Linked DNA regions of Drosophila melanogaster. The protein of the gene in region 1 interacts with the protein of each later gene in a pairwise test. Each region holds a gene or a part of one and is shown on either strand. Other genes may lie near its edges. The genes, in order: CG3880 and Ccdc85.

The links.
Region 2: the proteins of CG3880 (region 1) and Ccdc85 interact in a two-hybrid assay, tested with the Drosophila melanogaster proteins (2 studies listed by BioGRID).

What each region holds. Positions count from the first base shown.
Region 1 is NT_033778.4:24,758,686-24,762,607, forward strand, and holds CG3880 (uncharacterized protein), read left to right. Parts: upstream 1-1,978; 5' UTR 1,979-2,161; intron 2,162-2,596; 5' UTR 2,597-2,602; coding exon 2,603-3,460; intron 3,461-3,516; coding exon 3,517-3,861; 3' UTR 3,862-3,920; downstream 3,921-3,922. Other genes in the region: spz6 (spatzle 6), read left to right, coding at 1-111, 172-498, 899-1,529.
Region 2 is NT_033779.5:2,997,371-3,001,292, forward strand, and holds the start of Ccdc85 (Ccdc85), read left to right. Parts: upstream 1-1,915; 5' UTR 1,916-2,631; intron 2,632-3,922. Other genes in the region: CG3558 (uncharacterized protein), read left to right, coding at 122-160, 421-878.

The DNA.
Region 1 (3,922 bases):
CGCCGGCAAGAAGTCTGCCGTGTCCGTTCACAACATTTGCGGAGATCTAAACAAGGGTCAGATACCCAAGAATCCGCTGGGACAAAATGTACTCGGGGAGCCCTATCCCTTGTAGGTGAAAATATTTGCGTAACAAATTTCAGACATCTCTAATGTACACCTCCTCCACAGCGAACTTATTCGCAACCAAACGCTGAAGTTCCTTTCGAAAACTTTGCCCGTTCTAAAGGCCGACGATACCCTACCCAAGGTCACCCAGATCATTCGAGATGAACCCGTGGAACAGCTGGACAGCAACAACATCGACAGGCCCTATCCCGCAGGAGGTTCCACTCGCGTCCGCCGCAGCCTGCCGGAGGGCGTGGAGTCCAACGAGTACAGCTACTTCGATCCCGCCCTGGACGAGGAGGAGCAACACAAGCAAAGGGATCGGAATAACCAGCAGAGAAGGGCCGCCGAGGAGAGGAAGCCAAGGAAATTCTGCGATGGCGGTGGAGTGTAAGTTTTTAGCATGGAAACGGGGGAGTAGAGTTATTCCAATCTTAACTGCTACATAAATGAAAGATAAATATATCGTATTTCTTAAAGCACGGGAAAGGCGCGCATATAAAGCTAAAGAGGTCACCACTTAAAAATTATGAGTCATCTTTATAAAATTATAGATTCGAAGAATTATCAAGGCAAAGAACCCAAATGAGCTTGTCATTTCACTTTCCACATCATAATGTAAAGCCATACAACTAAAGAAGCTCAACACTTTAATCGACATCCATAGATATTGTAGAATAGGTTAAGAGAGGAGTACATCATGGGGTATTCAACTGCTTAGCATTTTGACGACACAACTGCGTGCAGGTCAATTAATAAAAGATTTTTAAACTTTTAACTCCACCCACAGATTTTGCACCTTATACAGGGCAATTCAGGGAGACACCGGAGGAGCAGCCCCTGCCACGCCCACTGCGGAAAGGCGCGAGGAGGTGGGTCCCATCCGGTACGAGGGTCCTCCCACTCCCTGTCCCGCCAAGGTAGAGTACGCTACTCCCGTCTTCGCTAAGAACTACCAAGGCGCCTGGCGTTATGTGGTCCAGATTCCCTATGAGGGCTACTTCACCCAGACGGTGGAGGTGACGCGTTGCATTCAGGCACGCTGTCACTACCTGGACGGCGGTTGCTTGTCGTCACCACGCTGGGTAAGCCTGTTGGTGGCGGAGATCTTCTACCCCAATGCGGAGGACACAGTGCCCACCAGCTCGACCACCACTCAGGCCCCTTCTGTGCAGGATTTCCAGGCCTACCAGCAGTACCTGCAGAAGAGGGCAGGCGTGGCTACCGCCTCCGACGGAACCTCGTCTGGAGCAGCCGGCCCCGCGGCGCAGGTGGACGCCCACTGCGATGGACACGATGAACTGGGCTGCTTCCAGGTGCGTCTCTACTACGACTGGTTCCTCATCCCCGGCTCTTGCAAGTGCTGGCGCCCGGACTACTTCGCCAAGTACGTGCGCCGGAAGTCGGTGGCCGAGTTGTGAACACTTCCTGGACAGGATTTTCGAAGGAAATCCTTAGAATAAGACTAAGTTCTAGCCTTTAGAGGAACACAACTTTGAGGTGAAAGGCTCATTCTAGTAATCCACCCGGGTGCCCCACAGCCCTATACGGATCACGCAGAGTTTGCAGTTCGTGCATCTACCAGATACAATCTTAACCTAGGCGGTTAGCTCCCTCTTTCGACTGATTAAGCCAAGAGCAGTGCATTTCTACTAATAAATACGTTTCTACCTAATCATAAGAGAGCCTCTCTATTCGGCACTTTGCTGAGACTGCGATGTGGTATTGGCCTAGCCTGTGTGTGTTAGCCTCCTGGAACTCTCTCAGCTGCGCTTGTGTTGGAAGATCCACCGAAAACCCACAGAAACCAGTCGCGCAAGTTGCGCATGCGTGCGAGACTCGGGCCCAAAACCTCGGCCGCTGATCTAGTGTGCAGTCAATATAACCAGTTGGTTGGCTTTGGGTGTTTTGGCCGGGGATCCAAGCGACCGAGCTGCATTACATACACAGAATAGTTGCAGAGTTTGCGCAGAAGCCTTGACGAACGGCCTCAAAAGGCTGCCAGACGAGCCGCGGACTCGGATTTCAGGAGCCAATTTTCCGCATAGCTTGGGTAAGTCAGCCAAATGGAGGGCCGTCTCTTTGTTTATAAACAAAATAAGCAACCAAAGTGGACTAAGGTACAGATGCAGCTGCGATAATAACATTGAGTAAACTTGGTACTTGAAGGCAAGAAACTAACAAAATCATTCATTTGCACGTCTCAGTTGAGCCCATTTAAATAAAATTGTAGAGTTTGAAATCAAGTAATTTTGTGTGGCGACTAGACGATTTTATAAAAATAAATTTGTTAAAACTGCTTGTAAATAAGTGGGAAATATCTTAGCTCAGAGATTCAGTCCTAAGGCAGCGTGCCAGATTCACACACATTCCATTTGGAGTTACCCATGCAAATGAGCTCCTATTAATATAAGTTATGCATTGGTGCCAAGCGTGGGACTATACGATTCATAATCTCATCCCACTTTCCATTTTGCGCCATCCGCAGACGAAGATGCTCCGCCAGAACAAGAATACCAGTACCAGTCTGCTGAACCTAAGCATAGGCGATGTGGGAGGCAGCCATCCACAGGGGCAGTCGCAATTTTGGGAACTGGATACGCTGCCTAAGCAGTTCGTCCTGTCCATGAAAAAGCTCTTCGACATCTTAGATGACAAGCAGACCGGATACGTGCGCTTCACGGACATCGAGAAGGGCTGGCAGGATGATGGCTCCAAGGGACTGCCACGCGGAGTTGTGGACTCACTCCGTCGGGTCACTCCCAGTAGCGGACTTCTCTCCTTCGAGCGGTTCTGCGCCGGCCTCAAGCTGTGCCTGCTCCGCAATCAGCAAAACGCTGTGGAAGACCTGAAGTTGCGGCCTCGTTCCCACGGAACTCTTGCTCCGGAGATGGAGTTCCATTCTCCTGCTCCGCCGCCAAAACCTCCACGACAGGTACCCAAGTCCCCTGCTCTGGGTAAAGACGACATTCGCCATGCCCTCCAAAACTGGCAACTGAACCTGATGGCGGACGCAGGAAAGTCAAAAACGACGCAGTCGCGGGAACAATTCGAACACCGTGGATCGGCTGACGGTGGCTCTTCCTCCACCTCTGCTTCGGCCACCGACTGGAGCCTGGCCCTTCCGGCTGTGCCCAAGAAGACCAGCAGCAAGCGCAGAGAGTCGCGGAGGCACACTCTGCAACACGGCATCGATTACAACATGCTAAAAAGACTGAAGCAATTGGAGGAGCAGCGGGAACTGCTTCTTTTCGGACTCGATGGCGTGGAGAAGGCACGCGATTGGTATATGATGCAGGTGCTCAATGTACAGGAGCAGATAAAGTATTTCGGCCGTTTAGGAACCCGATTTGTAAGTAGTCCTCTAGCTTGTAATTAATAGTTACCCCTTTCCTGATTTTCGCACAGGATCAGTGGTCTGAACTGCAGCAAGAAAGGCTAAACTTTCAACGCGCCCGCGTTTTTGAGGCCAATCGCAGCCTCCAGATTCTGGCCGACACCTGGGAGCACGGCGGCTACCCACTGCACATTAATTTGGCTGTGCCGACACCCACCGTCCCAAAACCGAGGCAGATGTCCGATCTGCTCAGTCGGGTTCGCGAGAAGCCGCCGCTTCTGTCAGACTTGTACGAGGCGCAGCACTCTCATTCCCATCCGCAGTTCCTGCGTGCCATGCCCAACTTCGTGCTCAGCCAGCCCTCGCCGGTCAGCCAATCCTCGGCCGGGCTGGGAGACGCCGACGTGGTCTACTGACGAATCAATGCTGCTGCGTACATTGTAAATAGTGTATTATTAAACAACTTGAACTATGTAA
Region 2 (3,922 bases), on another chromosome or scaffold:
TCAGGGCTAAATTTGGTTGACACACATCTCTGTAAAATGCCGCCGGCATCGTTTATAATAAATTAATTTCTTTTATTTCTTTATTTTTATCGAATCGATCAAAAAATCAAACAAATCTTAGCTTCATCTGGCTTATCACAAATTTACGCATTCTTCACCGGTAAATATTTCACGCTTGATAAAATATTTAAAGTTTTAATCAAACCTAACCCAATATGGCATAGTCTTGTTAATATTTGTGCGTAGTATCTTTATTTTCGTAGAGCTTTGTACATTATGCTTTCCACTAAAAAAATAGTTAATAGTAGAATATAGAAAACATTTGTGGAATCCCATATATACATGTGGTTATTGTTGTTTTTTAATTAACCCAAAATGTCAATATCATGTGCTGTTGCTAATCCTCGCATACGTTTTTAGGAGCTGCCTCGAATCTGGTGGGGAATAATGCCAGCAACGATGGAAGAGGCATATCACAAGCTCAGACGTCCGCAGGCACATGCGAGACCAGCTTGAGTACGCAGCCCCCAGCGGGAGCATCACGCACAGGAGCCAACGCGACGTCAACAGCGGCATCGGGAAGCAACAGCAGCATCGCAGGTTCCACCCTAACGCTCTCCGCCCAGTCGAACACAACCACCCACTCGGCGAGCACTCTGCACGGTCTGGATGGCGGCCCGTCGACGGGTGGTTTCAACTCGGAGCCGGCGTCCCTGGACTCGGTGGCCTCCATGGGAATCATCGCCAGCACAAGTGGCACCGAGCGATCACGCGATCTGGCCCTATGTGCTGTGCTCATGGACGAGTGGCTTAAGGAGCTGGCTGCCATTGCGCAGGAGCAGAGCGTTGTGCTGGTCACGGAGCAGGGGTCTTTATGATCGCTTGGAACGGAAAGCTTGTGTATACATATTTTACGGATTTGTTAGCCCTTGTTTGTTTTAACCAGCTACTCTTACGAAATTATTCTTTTTACCTGTTAAATTTTCGATATTTATATTTTAAAAAACAACTTTTAACGAACAATGCAGTTTTGAACAGATTTACAAGTTAATGCACACGGACTCAACTAAAAAAAAAAAAGAGAAACACTCAACGCGTTAAACAAATAGATTTAGGTTAAATGTTTTAAGTGAATCGGGACGGTGGATCTTAAGTGTTCAGATGTAAACAAATATTCTAATTACCAGCCGTACGCAAAATTTACAACGTTTATAGAGAGAATTATATAACACACATACCATGTATACATATGTATTTTTGCAATATATTTTATGCTTTTATGTATGCAAGATCAAATTACACAAGTTATGTAAAGCCAACTTGAAAGTATTAAATTGGTCCAAGTAAATGCACAGCCAAGAAGATTTAGTTATTCTTATTATTAGCTTAGGATTTCAGGTTTAACGTGAGAGCCAATTTTATAACATGGCAACCACCAGAGGAGTCAAAGGGACTCACTGGGTATACCTTCTTCTGGTGCGACACGTAAACGCACAGTTCATTCTGCGCAAGTCAGCTGAAGCTGGAGGAGCTGCCTGCATCGGAAACACAGTTTAGGTTTGAGGGCCATTGGGAGAACTGCCTTTGGGGTGTGGCGGCGAAATACGATGATAATTTAGGCGCTGAAATTTAGCCAAAATGTTTTTAAATAAAAGTGTTTCTTATGAAAACTTCAAGCCAATATATTCAAGATTATACTTATTAAAAGAAGCAGGCAAGATAAATTTCCGTTTAGATCGTTAACGGAAGAGTTTGAATTTGAATATGTACTAAAATAGAAGTTGATCGATTGATCGATTTATGCCCACACTTTAAACCAAACACATTCCACTCCGATATCTTAGTCGAACACAAACAATCGATAGTCGACAGCACTGTGGATGGTTGAACGCATCTCTAGAAATCGGTCGCTTTCAGTCACAAAACTGCGATCGTTGCGATCGTTTGCCGTTCAAAAAACGTAAAAGTGCGCATCGCCGGCTGAATTATTGCGTTGTGTTTATTTTATTGTTAAATATCGCATAAATTATGTTATACTTTTCCCCGCCCTGCACTCGATACATTCGTGTTGGCGACTAATCACACCGCCCGCATTTTCGCAAACTTTTTGTTCTTTAGTTGCGAGTGCCGCTTGAGTGTTTGTTAAGTGCAAGGGGAACACCGGCTGAAACCGCCTTTACGGGATTCTAGCCAACCGAAAATAGTTCGCGAAACGCAGCAGGCGACGCGTCTTTTTGGCTCTCGAAAAGGGCATGAAAACTCGCGAACTGTGGCCAATAAAAGATACATACAGGAAAAAGCGATTGCGCGAATTCTCGGCTGCGTGTGCGCTGCAAATTTGCTCGTGCGGAGCAAAAACAAACGAAAATAGCCGGATGAACAAATACATCCAGTGCGAAGAATAATCTACGCTGTATAAACAATTAGCCGCAAAACAAACGGCGGAATCGAGTGCCCCTGTGTGCCAGTGTATTGTGTGTGTCTGTGTGTATCTGTATCCCTGGAATGCGCAGTCGCGCATGCGCAAATATTTGTGATTTGTTTTGAAAGGAGAGAAGGAGCGAGAAACAGAGATAGATAGAGAAACATAGAGAGAGCGCGCGATCGGATTGGAATAAAAAAAAATAAAAGGTGAGTTTTGCTGTTAGATTGGCAATTGCAGCAACTGCAGTTGCCTTGGCCTAAGTTGCCATTTTCCCTGCCCACGTTTCTCCACACAATTAATGTACAGTGCAAGGAACTATTTGAATAACATACATGATAACTCACTCACAAAAAGTTCAATTCAGGCTCTTCAGCTATTGAAAAAACATTGAATCAATACTTTTTTACGTGTACCAAGCCCACGTCAGTCGACTAAAAATCCATGGGCCTCGGCCCACGGAAAATTAACTCATTGCCCCCTCTTTTCCCTTCGATCCAGAAAATTGCTCTATTCTCCTCGGGAACGCCCACTTTGTCAGCGCTACGCCCACCTTGCCCATTTGTTCTTCTTTTGTCTCTGGTCTTTTGTCTTTTCCCTCCACGGTGCGCAAACGAAGGCGGGTTTTTCCTCCACTTATCGCTCGGCCACTACGGCCATAAAAGTCCGAGTAAAAATCAATTTTCAAAACAAGCAGGACAAAAACAAAGGAACGAGCCAGCGAGGCGGCAAGGGGGCAAGAAAGGGAATATCGGACGACAATAACATCAATTTTGAGGCATTTATATGCGCCAATAAATTCAACAGTTGCTTGCTGGTGTGAGTGAGAAGGAGAGGCAGCAGGAGCGATGGCGATAGTATCGCATCCGAGGAAAGCAACAAATAACAGGCAGAAAGATACACGACAACGCGCAACAATAAGACACAAGATCAAACAAAACCAGCAGCGAAAACCGACCACGCTGCAGCATCGCCGTTGCTTTTGTTGTTGCTGCAGCAGTTGCAATAGCAACAGCAACAACCACGCCGCATGCAACAGGTAAAAGCAGCGACGCCACCGTTTCGAAACGAAATGCCCGCAAGAGCGAAAGAGATGGCGCCGAACAACCTGTTACATCGCCCGCTGCCTGAAATATGTAAAGTCAATTTCGTGTATCGGAAAACTGTAACTAATGCCAGGCAACAGCAGCAGCAGCATTAACCCATTAACGCGAAAGGGAGAAATCGGCCAAGAAATGCAAATGCATTGTCCATGGGTTAAATGGAAAGGCGGGATGGTGTAGTTGGGAAAACTGCTTGGCCACATACCACAAACAATGCAACAGTCAGGCATCGTTTGAATTGGCAAAATGTAAATAGTAATTAATATTAATACAATTATTAACACTATTACTTCTCGGACAAAAAGTATGTTTCCTTAGGGGTCTAAGTTGAATGTTTAATATTACTCATTTCTTTAAGCCTTCATCCGAGTTGGAATCTTTTTGCGGTCATGAGGCT